Linked DNA regions of Oreochromis niloticus. The protein of the gene in region 2 purifies or fractionates together with the protein of the main gene of each other region. This does not show direct contact. Links are inferred from orthologs where the notes say so. Each region holds a gene or a part of one and is shown on either strand. Other genes may lie near its edges.

The links. The genes of interacting proteins can lie anywhere in the genome.
Region 1: the proteins of nploc4 (region 2) and aspscr1 purify together in Homo sapiens (affinity purification with mass spectrometry; 3 studies listed by BioGRID and IntAct, with this or other methods). This does not show direct contact. The link is inferred for Oreochromis niloticus from reciprocal best matches to the Homo sapiens genes NPLOC4 and ASPSCR1.

The regions. Positions count from the first base shown.
Region 1 is NC_031971.2:32,711,743-32,719,640, reverse strand, and holds the start of aspscr1 (tether containing UBX domain for GLUT4), read left to right. Parts: upstream 1-4,879; 5' UTR 4,880-4,927; coding exon 4,928-5,017; intron 5,018-5,240; coding exon 5,241-5,296; intron 5,297-5,747; coding exon 5,748-5,862; intron 5,863-7,898. Other genes in the region: inactive palmitoleoyl-protein carboxylesterase notum1b, read right to left, coding at 28-80, 898-1,259. UniProt on the Homo sapiens protein: Tethering protein that sequesters GLUT4-containing vesicles in the cytoplasm in the absence of insulin. Modulates the amount of GLUT4 that is available at the cell surface. Enhances VCP methylation catalyzed by VCPKMT.
Region 2 is NC_031973.2:3,598,341-3,606,106, reverse strand, and holds the start of nploc4 (nuclear protein localization protein 4 homolog), read left to right. Parts: upstream 1-4,752; 5' UTR 4,753-4,948; coding exon 4,949-4,963; intron 4,964-5,589; coding exon 5,590-5,670; intron 5,671-7,766. Other genes in the region: oocyte zinc finger protein XlCOF6.1, read right to left, coding at 498-1,669, 2,595-2,706. UniProt on the Homo sapiens protein: The ternary complex containing UFD1, VCP and NPLOC4 binds ubiquitinated proteins and is necessary for the export of misfolded proteins from the ER to the cytoplasm, where they are degraded by the proteasome.

The DNA.
Region 1 (7,898 bases), on a different chromosome or scaffold from region 2:
TCTGAATCAGGTGTATTTCATCCTCACCTTCCAGGAACAGCAGCCACCTCTTGCTTCCTTTTGACTCCTTGATGTAGTAACTGCACAAGAACAGCAAAACAAAGCAGCGTGAAAGCGCTGATGTATTCACACATTCATGAATGCATTCAAACAGTCTCCACACACTGGGGATGCTTCCTGTTATCCTGAACTGACAGATCTGGCTCTGATCACTAAGCTTCTCTGTAGGAGCCAGGGTACTGCAGACCCGCACATGTCCGGTTGTGTTTTTTCACATAGCGACAGGAAACTCACCATGCTGCTGGCAGCACGCACACTCTCACACTTGATGCGGGTGGTATATCGAAAGATTCATCTCATTCACAGCGATTTAATTCATATTTTGCCCACAATATATTCTAATTTACACCTGGAACAGAGTTTAAAAACTTTGACAATGAGTGGAATTAACTGGTGATTCGCACAGGTGGGAAACTGATTATTTTATTTCGTCCAGTGTGGAAAACCCTACATTTGAAATGCCATAAATCTTTGAACTATCATTAGTTATAATCTTTGTTGTCATTACTCTTAATTTTGCTTTATCGTAAAGTCGCCAGAACAAGGATAAATGCCCCTCTCTCGTCCTCGCTCGCGCCCTCCCTCTCGTGTACGCGCTAATTTGCAGCGTGCATGGCGCTCTCTCTGATCTGATCCTTTGATCCATTTTGGTCACATCCGGAGTGACACGGGAATGGAGCACACGGAACTAAACTAGTAGTAAAACGCAGATCGGATGGTGGGTGTATCTACCCCTCCGTGTCTCAGATTCTTACCAATTAATGACAAAACTGTGGTTTTAAATCACGCCTGAAGGTCATTAAGAAACTATGAAGAATCTGCAGGCCATTCACTTACCCTGCAGGTGACCCGTCGTTGCAAGTCACAGACACGTTCTTCAAAAAGTGCAGCTTCATGTCCTGATCCAGCTTTTGCGCAGAGCACGGATAGAGTGACTGCGCTAAGTTCTTTATCTGCACTACAAAGTTGTCCATGTTGCCCTCCACAGCTGTGAAGTCTAACGGGAAGCTTTCTGCTCCTTCCACCCGCTCCCTGTACGGCGGGGGCGTCTGCTGCTGCTGCACCCTCCGTGTTTGCGCCCGACCGCCGCGCACTCTCCTCGCCTCCACCGGTGCGCTCAGGTGGATGAAGAGCAGCAGCAAGCAGGAGCGCACCGCGGACAGTCCAAATGAGTTTCTCGCCACACCACGGCTCTGCATTTCTAATTATTTCTGGAGAACGTTCCTCGCGTGTGTGCGTGGGCTCTGAAGAAAACACAGCATATCCTATGAGTGGGTAGATCGACAGGAAGTTCTTCGAAAGCGCACGGAGTCTTCAAACAAACGATCTCCTATACCAGCAGTACTGGGTAAAAACAGCTTATGGGTCTCCATGGTGCCCTGAGAGATGGGTATCTGGATTCAAACTCATGCAAAATGCGCGTGCAGTTCCAGTTCATTTCCTTAAATCGCGCGCAGTTCGTCCAGTAAACGGGTTCTTCCGTGCGTAAAAATATCTGAAGTTTCGTCCAGCTCAGTCTCACCAGTGACCTGTTGCCTTTTGGTTCAGGTCTTATAAGCTGCGGATGAAGCGGGAATTTATTTGAGGTCCTCCCCCTCCTCCCCCCGTCCCCCCTGCCTGCCCCCGTGCTTCTCACTCCCGCGGGCCAATCGTTATTATCGTTGGCGGATGCTCTTTGCGGGGCGTGGGGCTCACACCAAGAGCGCGCGTATGCCTGGCACGCCCCCTCAGTCGGTTCACTCATACCCCCGGCCCCTTTGATGTTGTGTCATCATATGACCGCGCTGCCTTTGAAGTGTCTTTGATTGAACATGGTGTGTGAGTAAAAAACGCAGTTGGACACGCCGTTCCGCTGCAGAAGGTCACGCCACTGATGCACATGTTTTGCGGCTTTTTATGCGCTTCAGAATTAAACTGCATTTTCTTTGTGTTTGTTGCTCAAGATAGATAATCAGATAATCTTTTGGGCTATTTCACAACAGAAGATAAGGTCGCTGGAAGTTTTTAAATCATGAGTGTGGTATGTGTAGACACAGCGATAGGGCGAACACACTAAGTCACACTAAAGCATAAATCAACACTTATTACTGACACGTAAAATATTTAAGCTATGCTTGCGGGATGTGAGTTTAAGATTATTGTGTGACAGTTATTAACTCTGTTGCAACTGTTGACTGTATTGAAGACCTTTGACTCATCCTTATTGTAAATGTGAGCCAGCGCTTCATCTGCTCCACTTTTTACTTTTCCTTTACAACCATTTTTTCCAAAACTGACTTCTTATTGTGTCGTTAAACCTCACAGATACATGAACAGAATCCCAAAGCAGTTTGAGAACTGGCACTGGCTGGCCTGGTTGGAGAACTCATCAGTGGTGTCAATGTCATTTTATATGTGACCAATTTAATTTCAAGTGTGCTGGGTCAATAAAAACATTGTATGATTCCCCATTAAGACAATCTTTGTCAGTATGAAGTGGTTTGTGTGTTCTTCTGTCGGAGATCTTGTTTTCCAGCCACTGGAAAAATAGAATAGAATAATTCTGCACATCTAGGTTCAAGAGAAAAGAGATTCTTAATCCCTGAAAGCTTCTTTTTCTAAGAAGATGGTGAAACTTGGATAAAATGAATCATTCGTACAGCCACTGCAATCATGTGATTCATTTTAACCACTTAAAACAGAGGTTAACTCCTGGTGAAGTGAAAGGTTCTCTGAGATTTTCACATCTTGTTAAGCCATCCAGGAGGCCAGACTGGACCTATGGGTGGGACACATGTAGCCCATGAGCCATATGTTTAACACCAGAAAGCTATTTTTGCCCATATTGTTTCTTTTACATCTGCTCATCTTTAAACGTCCCCATTCATTCACCAGATCCACCGTCCTCTGATGTCTAACATTCACACACTGCCTGTAATTTGATTTCGATCTTTGATGGGGTTTTTTATGATGAAAGGAACACTTAAAAAAGGTCTCTCAGCATGTAAAACCCACTGCAGATGCCTTTATAAGTTTGCGCTCTATCCAGACAGTTTTGAAGTTTCAGTCCTGCTGAGCGAGGAAGGAAACTGATTGTTTGTTTGTTTGTTCAGATGGTGGCAATTTCCCACTAGGACTGAGAAGTGCATTCATTTCTGTCTGTCTGTCTCTCTTTCCCAGGTGGACTTTGTCTTTAAATGTTGCTCTTGAAGCAGTCAGTCAATCAGTCAGTTGTTCGGCCTCTTAAGCTCTGGCCTCACACCTCTCCATCTGTTGGCACCACTTGTCATGTTGTTTGTCTCGTCTTATTCCAGCTTTGATCCAATTTGATCCATGCTGAGAAAAAACAGCCTTGATTGTTGTTGCTCAAACTGCATACATACAGTACATTAGGTTTTCCATATGGAGAGCAGATTGACTGTGTGTGACTGTGTTGTGGTCAGTTTACAGACAGGATCAATTTCCTTCTCTCATGAGGCCAGATTGTGTTTTCTTATTATGCTTTTAAGGTCAAGGGAAGAGTAATGATCTTCATATTGTTTTTAGATGCACACTGTACAATACAAGCTGCGGAGGGTTTTTTTTTTCACAGAATGAATAGATAGATTTTTTTTTACATTGACTCTGATGTTGTTAATCCACTCAAATTATTTTTTCTAACACACAAACGGATGTGTAGAAAAGACCTTTCCAAACTTAAGTCTCCCCTTCCACCTAGGTTAATGTAGTGACTGTAAATTCCATGTAATTCACATCATGTTTATAATTCATAAATAATTCAGTTAGCTGGATTTAGACAGACTAGTCAATAACCCTAACCCCTTTGGTTTATTCTGACAAAAGGGAAAGTAAGAGTTGGCATTAATATGATTAATGAGGTCTTATTTCTATGTAAGTGCTCCAGTAAGTTGTTAAGTAAGCCAGTATACACGGTACATAACATGGGATCCAATAATAAAAAAATACAAATTACAATTGTATGCATCTGTTAAATCAGAAATTTAACACTAGATTACACTAGTTTCAAGTAGACAAAAATTATTTCCCCCTGGGAATACAAAATATAGACCTTATAATATCACACTGTCCCAATGGAGCAGTTCAATCTCTAAAAGCAGAGTTGGAGGCAAATCCTTCAGGTATCAGGTTAGCTCCCAGTTTAGGTTCAGGAAACAGACACCCTCCCTACTTTTAGATTCGGCTTCAAACTTTCCTTTTTGATAAAGCTTAGCGTTTGGGATGGATCAGATGAGTCTAAAGCATCTTAGTTATTCTTTTATAGGTTCAGGCTGCTGGGACACTTCCCAAAAATGAGTAGACCATTTCTTCTCTAGTCCACTCTTTTCACTCCTGATGCATTTACATGGCACTATCGCATGGCATTAAATTGTGTCTACCCTCTCCCATAGCATGTGTTGTGTTTCTGTCTCTCTGTGCTCTTTTTGAGACAATGGTTGTTTGAATTGGCACCGTATGAATAAACCCAAACCGAACTGAATTTGGTGTTATAATATTTCACTGTAACGTTTTTTAAAATAAAAGACAATAAACTACTAGCCAGTCTAAACTACAGTAAGGCTTAGTATATGAATAGATAGTACAAGTTGTGTTCTTAGTATTTTATTTCATGTTGTAGCACTTTAAGAGACAAGCAGATGTCTCTTAAGTGCTATTTGACTATTGCAGTGGGACGCTAAAACATTGTGGGGGTTATTTCTTCTTAATTTTTTAAATGTTTGTATAATTAACATTATTTTGTTTGGATAATAACGCTCATAAAGGTGAGACGAAGAAAATCTTAAAAGTTGAACGAACTGCACCTTTAAGTGATGCCGCGACAGAGTCAATAAAGCTTATTCAAACAAACATTGTGACGTCAGGACACGCAATGGCTGCTAGTGGCACAGCTGTAACGGTTCTCACTCCCAATGGGAGAAGGCAAACAGTTAAAGTGGCTCCAAACACGCCGTTACTGCAGGTGAACTGTTATAGAGGAGCGTTTCATCTTTACTTAGGTGGACGGCTTATTGAATTCTGCGCTTTGGTTATAGAACCGGACTAAATTCCTTCCCTCCGAGTTAGCTTGCTGGGCTAACAGTTGTTAGCCAGTGACTGATCAGTTTGTGTTTTCGTGCGGATGAAATCAGATTATTTGGGAGATTTTGTGGCATAACTCGTGTTGTAATATTTTCCGCCTTCAGGTGCTGGAGGAAGTCTGCAAGAAGCACGGATTTAACCCAGAAGATCACGGTTTGAAGTGAGCAAATGAACGTAGCTGTATATCAGTTTTTGTCCCTTCAGATTAAAAGCCTTTCACCTGGATTACATCCAAATACACTTTAATACATAAACAATCGCACTGGACAGTAGCGGAATAGTAATATGTGAAATATCCGTTTATTTATATAGTTAAAGAAGTTAAGCAAGTTAAATGTTGTAAGCGATTTTCACATCTTGTACAACTCTGTTTTGGTTTCAGATCGTGTTTACTTATATTTTAAAAATCGGTGTCACTGCAGGAAAAAAAGAAACAAGACAAATTATGTGTCAAAAAATGAAATCAAATTGAAATTTGATAACTGTTTGTAACTGTTTGTACTGTCCTCAGGCTCATACATCATTCTTCACAGCTGTCCAGCTACTCCACATGAAACATTTAGTCTGATTTAATTGCTCTCTTTCTTCTCCACTGTGAAAATTTTTGGCAGGTTTCAGAGGACTATTGTTGACCTGACGCGGCCATGGAGGTTTGCAAACCTGCCCAACAACGCCAAACTGGAAATGGTGACGAGTACGAGGAAACAAGTTATAGCTGACAGCCAGGTCAGTTCAAACAAAGTGCAACTTGGGGCTCAACGTTTAGTCAGATTTTAATCTCCGTTATGATTTTGCTCTCAAATTGTTGAGAAAACAAAATAATCTTGACCATCTTCTTTGCACAGCTTTCATTTAGAGTGGTGTGTTTTTACTCTCCCTAAAAGTTCAGCTTTTAGTTTAACCCCAACCAGGGTGTCTATAATTCAGCTTTTGGCTACAAAGATCTAATCAAGGAAGTAAATCGTTGAAGGTTTCTTATGGTGAACATGTGAAAGAATATCACTTAATTGGAGCTACCCCAAAGAAGAGTTTGTGTCTACTCCTGACCTCAAACTAGGAATCTTTCGTAGTTGAAGAAAATGCCCAGAAAAAGACACTTTTTAAACTCCAGTATCTACGCAGTGTCTCTTAATCTAGTGAATAATGTGCATATTTTAGAATATTGACCAAATTTATCATGATTACGACTTTTCCTATAAGCAAGCAGCCTTGGTGCATCTATGTATATGTGGGTGTTAGAGAGAGTCAGAAAGGAAGAAAAGTCTCCAAAACCAGTGTTTGGAGACTTTCCTAGCTACGCCATTTTTTATTTTATGTTTTTTCAGATTCATGGTGTGCATGAATCAGAAAAAATGTGGAAACAATTCTTTTTACCTCAAGTCTGATTGCAACACAAAACATGCTCTTAATAAAAAATTATTAAACAAGAGCTCATTTCCAGGATCAGCATTGCCAGAGTCCTTTTTATAGAAGTACCACAACTCGGTATCCTTTTTGAAATGCCTCCAGTCATTTATGTGGGCAGTTATTTGAAACACCAGAGTGAAAAAATATCTGCTTAACTTATTTTAAGTGACTTTGTCTCAGTGAAACTTTGCCAGCCTTTTTAGCCTTGAGTGGCCAAGGTAAACATGTTCAGAACATACTTCTTTACCAGGGTTTTTCCTGTATATGGTAAATGGTAAATGGCCTGTATTTATATAGCGCTTTTTCTGGTCCCTAAGGACCCCAAAGCGCTTTACATATCCAGTCATTCACCCATTCACGCACACATTCACACACAGAAGTGTTTGTGCCCAGCAAAGAGATTTTAGCCTTCCATTAGAGAAAGCTCACCAGGACTTTGATTTTTGACATGTTTTATGTAAGTGGGGTTTAATTAAGTTAAGCTTGAATGGCGCGTTTGTTTTTTAAATAACAGGCGAATGCGTAGACTTCTGTTAAGAAAGGTCACATAGGCTATTTGCCTGGCGTGCATGTTGTTCAATAAATAAAATTAATTTGAGTCCCCTTAGGGCTATTTGTCCCACTCATGATCATGTTTGAATAGCCTTAAGTAGCTTCATGTGTGGGTCAGTCAGCCCCGTGTGTGGGTTTCTTTATTGTCCGTACCTGGAAATGCCTGAATTCTCTGTCACTGCTCTCTCTCTGATTCCTATCCAACAAAACACTTTGTTGTAGCTGAGCTGTAGTTTCCTATGACATCATGGCATCATAATCCATGCTGTAAAATTCACGGCTGGGTTTGATCTGCTGTTTTTGTTCATTTGATGGATGGTTGACTGTTGATACCTGGCAGATTTTATACAGACGCACACACGCAGGCACCTCTGGGGCAGACTGGTTTGTGGGAGTGTTTCGTGTTTGACCGTTGACAGCCAAAGCCCTCGTTTCATCTCTCCCGGTGTGCTGACATGCAGCGTGCTTTCTGTGCCGAACAACACCGTTGCAGAGTAAACAACTCGCAGAGTGACTCAGAGAAAGAGCAACAGAGACTTGCACTCATGTCTGATGTTACTTATTTTCAGGCTGAGGTAGGCCCACATGTGCAGCTTAATCATCTTTGATTATCAAAGAATTTTCTTCCTGGTAAATGTATCAAGACTGATGAGCCAAGAACTTACAAATGACCACCGTGGGGGATTTTCAAAATCAATTCCTTTTCGGCATTTAAGGAGATGTTTGTGAGTCCAACAGCGTGAAGTGCTTGTACTGTAGATTTTATTACTTTTAGCTTCTGTCAAAAGAAAAAAAAATGTAAA
Region 2 (7,766 bases):
TCATTGATTGTTCCATGCAAAAGTTTTATGGCAATATTCATTTTAATGGAGAGAAACAGAATATCGACCAAAAATCCAGAAAAAAACAAAAACACGTTACATAAAATCTGTAAACTTGTCTGGATTCTGGATCCCATGACTGGAATCTGTGTCAACAAATCAACAAATCAATACATTACTGATAGTTCCGATCTCACCTTAAGCACAGCTATCCAAATAATTAATTTCTGCCATTACAACCTCTGGTCTGACCCAGGGCATTGGAAAGTATTATAGTATTAAAATATTAAAATACAATCTTATTTAGATATGACAAAACAAAGCTGGTATTTTTTTAATAGAAAGGTAGAAAAATATCTCACATTTCTCCTTTAAACATTATAAAAAGCTTTTACAAAAACATATTTCTTTCTCCAAATCAGGAAAAACTGATCGTTTGTTTTCCTGCGTGTCGCTTACCAACACAAACCACACAGTTAGTCTTCGTGCAGTTTTTGTTATATGTGGCCTTTCATGTGCTTCTTCAGATTTTCCTGTCGTGAAAATGTTTTACGACAGGCACTACAGGAAAAAGGTTTTTCTCCTGTGTGGACAACCATGTGTCTCCTAAGGTGTGTGTTTCTCTTATAACGTTTCCCACATTCATCACAAGCAAACGGTTTCTTTGTTTTGTCGCACACAACAGCGTGAGCATTCCTGCAAGCGGGTGCATGTCTCATAAGGTGTGCCCTTCGGTAAAATTTTTTATCACAAATATCACAATGAAATGGTTTCTCTCCCGTGTGGAGCACAGTGTGCCTCAGCAGACTTCCCTGTCGTGTGAATCTCACGCCACACTGACCACAGCCAAATGGTTTCACTTCTGCGTGCGCGCTCATGTGCACGGTCAGATCACCTTGACGTTTGAATCTTTTACCACAAGTGCTGCAACCAAATCGCTGTTCTTTAGTGTGAACTATCTTGTGTGCGTTCAGAATTGCCTGTTGGTAGAACTTTTTACCACAAAGACTGCAACTAAACGGTTTAACTCCCGTGTGAACTTTCACATGAGCTGTCAGACCACTCCGATTACGAAATCTTTTACTGCATTCATCACAACCAAATGGTTTCTCTCCTGTGTGAATTGTCATGTGGCTGTTAAGAGATTGCTTTTGCTTAAACTGTTTCCCACACTCAGAACAGCTAACTAGATTTTTACAATCAGGTGCCCTGGTGTGCTTCCAGCTATTGTCAGTACCATCAGTTTCAGTTCCAGAATCTGATAAAGTTGTCTGCCAGTCTTCATCTTCATCATTATCATCATCAGTACTGACTTCACTCTCAAAAGACTCAGAAGCCTTTGTAAGAGGTGAATGAATGTCTGAATCTGGGTTCTTGGCAGGCTGTGGTCCTCCACAGTCGTCTTCATCAGTTTCTGTTTTCATCTGTTTATCTGAGCTGCTGGGTGGAGGCTCTGCCTCGCTATTGTTGTTAGTTTTGCTTTGGTGAAGCTCTAAGAATTGAGGTTTTTCTTCTTCATCTTCGCTTTTTACAGAAATAAATGCCTTTCCCTCCTGACTGTCCCAGAGTTTTTCCTGTTCCTCCTTTATGCGGTGGTGCTCTGGGACCTTCTGCTCCACACTGGGACTCCATTCATGAGGCATCTCTTCTTTAATCAGCTGCTGGACATCTGCACGAATAAAACACAGTAAGCACATTTGTGCTCTCCATTCAGAGCTATTCTGTGTACATATATGTACACAGCCCTGTATTCTCTGTTTAACTGCTGAAGAAAGAGGGAAAAAATAGTCATCAAGGCAAACATTTCAGCTCAGCAGCCACATAAAGTGTGCAGCGTAATTGTGGTAGTGCAATACTAAAGATTTTGGTATGGCTCCGAGAACGAGTAAATACAGGGTCAGTATTGCCGATATTAATATCAATACTGATACTTGTAACACATAATGCAGCTTATTTAGGGGAGTGCAGTGTGTTGGATAGTACCATTGGTTAACATAATAAAACACAGCTTTTTTTTCTCCAAAATAATCAAGATGTGCCTGTCGCTAAAGCACTTTGGTTCAGCTAGTGTTGTTTAAATCTGCTATAGGCTATAAATAAAATTGAAAGATTTGCACCTCTTAGTGCATGTTTGAGCTATACTGAACATATAAGATAGAAACAAAGTATCAAGGCTATCACACTTTTATTGACCCAATACCAATATCAGCGTTGGTACACTCATACAGTACACACACACACACACACACACACCTGTAAATACTGGCACAAATCCATAAAGCGAATGTTGGTGCTTGATTTATAGTTTTTATATTTTACATTTGAGTTACGGAGCAGCTTATTCAGCCATTTCATCTTAAAGGTGGAAACGCTGTTTGTTCGGTGAGGTTGAACTGAGATCACCCTGCTGTGTGCGCGCCGTAAACCGTCCGGGTGCTGCGCTGCAGTTTCCGTTTTGGAACATTTGTGAACCGAGTCAGATTAACAGAGGACAGTAAGACTTGTTGCTGTGGAAATCTCAGCCACCCCTACAACAGGTTAGCATCACGCCAGCAGTTTGCTCCATAAAATCAAACATCCGTGATTTCTCTCACCTGCGCTTCGGTTTATTTCGTCCTGCAGCTTTAGGGCTCCGAGCAGTTGCATCTCCGGCTTTTCTTCAGGATTTTGATCGCTGTGCTGTCGAAGATCATCCGCTTCGTTCATGCCGACCGCTTTTTCTGCTCTTCTTTAGTACAAATTAGGCCGTTTCTCAGGGTGAAGTTTGGCATGTTTGTTGGTACTGAGCAATGCCCCAGTGGTTACCGTGCGTAATTGTAGCTCAGTCAGTTTTTGTGTTATCCTGCAACAAGGAACTGAAACTGTACAACAGAGGAAAATACCAAAAGTTGTCTTGTCAAAATAAATAAATACAAATAAAAACTGATATATTCACTTTAAAAAAAAAAATCCAGTTTTTCATAATCTTAATTAGATTATTTTTTGAAAAGTCCGGCAACACTTTTCATTAAAAGAGAAAAGGAAAAGCTCTTTATTCTGAATTAACACTGTAAAAGAGCTTCTAGACTTGAAAGATTGATTTCATTATGTGTATTCACATTTCTCTTTGTGTTGGGGAGATGAGCCGATGAACATCCTGCTTTTATTAAGAATGAAGTTCAGCTACTTTCGGCTGCTCGCCCACAGCTGCTCGCTCCGCATGTTTGATTTCTCTGATTTTTATGCCAGATGCTGTGAAGCAACCGCCCCCAAGGGAATGGTGTCTCATAATTTATAATCCTAAAGGCTGCCACAACAGCATCAATGAAACCAAATTATTGCACACATTAGATTAATTTTGATCGTTTTGTTACAACTCACAATCTTCATCCATAAAGCACATTCCAGAATCAAAAACATAACAAGCAGAATTTATAACAACAGTGTGACATTCATAAGTGTAACAAATTGTTCCTCTACACGTGGCTGAGCTATGAGGTCTGCTGACAGAGCATAAGCCACAAGGTTCCTCAGATAAATGAGTTCCTCATCAGTCTTGTAGGGATTTAGTGATAACACCTGTTCTCTCATTCTAAGCTGTTTCTGTCTTTTCTGTGGCCTCACAAATATTCTGCATATGCAAAGTACATAATGTCACGCAGGTACTGTGGTTTGTTGATGTTCCCTTGATGTTGAGGGAACATCTAAGACCTATATGTGTCACTTTAACTTCATAATGAAGACATCCACATTTAAACAGGGGGTAGGTACTTAAAACAAGCCAAAACAATAATAAATGAACAGCGTGTAAAACTACGGGTATTGTTATAATGGGAACTTTTTTGGATTTAGATTATAGACAATACATGTCAAATACGAGGCTCAGTGCCAGGAATCATCAAATTAATTAAAAACACATTGATTTTTTAAAAATTAATTTATTTGAATAAATGCTGTTTCTTCTGTAGTGATGGTCTGGAAAGTTTAAAACATTTTCATATCTAGATAAGTGTATCACATTTAAAATACAGCTGTTTTACATACATGAATGAGAGAGATTTGGTATCATAAATTATTATACCCAAATACAGCTAGTGTGAGGAAGTGTAAGAGTGACCACAATGATGGTTTAAAATGTACAAAACGCTGCAGAAAGTACAGTAAGTAACATAAAATCACCCTCCTTTGAACCTACAAATAAAAAAATAACTATAAGTAACTGTTTGAGACATAAAACAGCAAAACCTAAGCAGAATATAAATTGACTGATTACTGACTACTCAGTCCATCACATCTCCTTTAAATGCTTAATTACATTCCTGTCCCTTTAAACACTGTACAAAAGTTTTAAAAGCCAGAAATTCCATATTTTCATACCATAGTGTTATAGAGTTTAGGGTTTGGGCTACTTTTCATCATCATAGACCAGACGGTAGTTTTATCCATCCCACATGTTAAAACAATGCCTCATATTTTATGATAGTGATTTTTTTATGAAAAATGTTAGTTATTGTTAAGAATTCAGAAAGCAGAATAAAATTAAGATAATGTTGTGCACTTACAAGGAGGGCTCAACAATGCTGTAGTGAGCCTCTGAACATCTCTGAAAATGTTCAGTGTGAAAGGAATATTTTGTATCCCATCTTTCAGCATATTTAATACTAAAAAGGATCTGACTCGGGGGGGCTCAGGTGGGAGGCAGTAACTGACGGGAGAAAAAGAAAGAATGATAAAAGTGGAACCCTTGTTTCTAGCTTAGTTTCTTTGTTTCGACCGTGGTCGCTCCGCTGTGGGATCGATGGGGGCGCTAATGTGTGCAACACCCGGTGTTTGAGTTGCGGGATGGAGTTTCGCTGACATACACACACACACACACATATACATACACAGCAGCGCTACGGGGTATTTGTTTTGACCCTGTCTGTCCACTAACAAAGCCAAATCTACCGGGCGCACCTACCCGAGCAGCATGGCCGATAATATTGTAAGTACAGCGGAGGATGGGCTCCGGCTAACGTTAGCTAGCCTGTTAGCTGGACTCCTGAATGATGAGGCAGCAGAATTAGCTTGGCTAGCATTAGCCAGCTAACATGAGCTAAGAGTGACCAGGGCCTGTTTAGCTAGCCGGCTAATATGATAGCTAGTAGGCTAGCTGACGACATCCGAATGAAAAGAGTCATTGTTGGCTAACGGGAGAGCGACAATAACGGCCGGCTTAAAATGACTGGCATATTCTTTCATCTCTTTAGCATGACAGTAACACGAATAGCTCGGTAACGATGGGAGCTGTGATGTTGCACATTCACCACGAAAGTGATATTTAGTTAGTCTGTGAATGAGCCAGTACACACTGACAGCTTTCCAGAGTAGTTCAATGTCAACATCGTCATGTTGCAGCTAAAAACTAGAGGTTGATGAGCTGACGTTAACCCGACTTTTCTTTCTGCACTGTCACGGTTGTCATAATACCCCGACACTGACACCGGAGGGGGGCGGAAAGGGGGGGGGGCTGCGTCCTGGTTTTGACTGACAGGTGTTTGAAATGCTACAATGGATTCGGGCTTGTACTGTAACGACTGAATTGTGGGTTTATTTCTGTCTCTCCTTTAGATCATCAGGGTGCAGTCCCCAGAAGGGATGAAAAAAATTCCTTCTACAAAGAGGGAGACAGCTGCTGCTTTTTTAAAGAAGGTAATGTGTTAAATATAACAGCACTCAAGCATCTTGTTTTCTTCTCTACTCTAAGGGCTGGTTTCCAGCCTCAGGATTTATCAGTTTGGCCTGGCACTCCAGTATAAGGGGGTCAGTTCAGCCTTTAAATGAAGGTGGTGGCTGACTTCTGAACAATGCAGGATTTTAATTAGTCATGGCTGCTGCTGTCCTCTTCCCTAAGCCTCCCCTTCTGCCTTTTTATAAGAATCCCTGCTGACAAACTCACCGAATAGCTAAGAAAACAGTTTAGTTAAAGACTTCTAAACACATTATAGTTTTAATTCAACTGTAGATAGTATGCTTTATTTGATGTTTGCATAAGATAATGGCAGTAATCTGTGAATAGTTGTCCAGCAGTTACAAACACAATAACATCTAAGCCTGGGCCATCATATTCTGTTCTGCTTATGACCTCCTTGGGTTTCCGAAGGCATGGGAGAAGATGAGGGAGAGTGAGCTCAAAACAGTTTTTTCAGATGTAAAGGAGGGGAAACAGGTATTTTCTGTAGCTTGTGTTTCCATAAACTGCCAAGCATCAGCACTCCTTCACCTCAAGGCTTTGTCAGCTCATCGTCATTATTTATTTTATGGAAGTAGTAACACCGTGTCCTCATACAGTTGAAAAGTCACAAAATTCGGAGTACCATCCTAATCTGCACGCCCTCCCTCACTTCATCTCCAGTTCACAAAGATTACCCATGTTTGCTGCCTTCAGGGTACAGTGGTGCCACATTGTTTTAAATTGCTATGCATTGTAAAATTAAGCAAGAATAATAGGCATAAAATAAAATGGTCACAGTTTTCTGGCTGGAAGAATGAAAGGCTATCTTAAACCCCTAAAAGACTTTGATCCAATTGAAATCTGGGAAAAAACAACTTTTTGTTTTGACCTTTTGGTGATACCCTGTTTCAAAAGCGGAGATTATCTGCTCTCTCATTGGTTATTAGACCCATCACATGCAGTTACTTGTGGCCAAAACAGCAGGATTGTTGCTCTTGATGCTTCAAAACAGGTCTTTTTAAACCAAAGGGTGATGATATGTTAGTCATGTTAATACTGTCAATCATAAGGATGTACTGATATATGATCCAAATATAGTCATTAGCTGATATTGGCATATCAGCAAGTAAGATGGCATTTATCCACATCAGTAGCTGATATTTATCTGTTGTGTCACATCAGTCGTGTGCTGGCAAAAAAGCAAAGAATTTCCCACTCTCTGCTTTCCTCCACACCAGAACTGGATCCAAGCCTTCTGTACTTTATTTCCACAGTACACTGAAAACCTGTGCAGGCCTCTTATGTTTTTTTCACAAAGAAAACTGATTAGAAAATGTTTTATCTTTAAATCAGTACAGGAGTGTTATGTGTTGTTGTGGGCTTTGTTTTGTTTTTTTTCCTCTTCTTGTGCCTGTACATACATGAAGCTGTGTAGGAAGTAACAGAGCAGGTCGGTCCTTTGTGGACTGCACAAGGAAATATGTGTTCAGGGAGTGTGTTAGATGTTTTAGAGTCCAGGCATTGCTTCATATCACAGAAGGCACAGATAAAAGTGTGTAATCTGATTTTTTATAGGACTTGAATTTTACTGAAGGCCTGTTAATAATTTAATCCACTTCCCCAAATCTACTGCATAAAATACAGGAAATTCTTGCACCCATTTACAGCTGTCTGGTAATGTTGAACCCAACATTTGCACCAGTGCTGAATCACTGCTGAGCTGGACTCACATCAGATTTGGACAACTCCTAATCTGATGTCAGTCCAACTCTGCAGAACTGTGAACGCCCTTTGGTGTTTCAAGAAGTTTGGCTGACACAAACAGGCTTCAGAGATGTGAATTTGAAAACCTGCAAACATGAACTGTAAGTTAAAAATTTAAATCTAAAGACCTTCTTTACCAAAAAGGACAGAAGCCGGTGAAATGACAATAAAAAATGAAGTGATCTGCTTGATTTGTAAAATATCAGGTGTTCAGGTGAGAAGTATCAGCAAAACAAAGATAGAAAGTTTTAGCAAATTGACAACAAACATGGTAAAATACAATGTAAGTAAGTAAGAATAAGAGACAGTA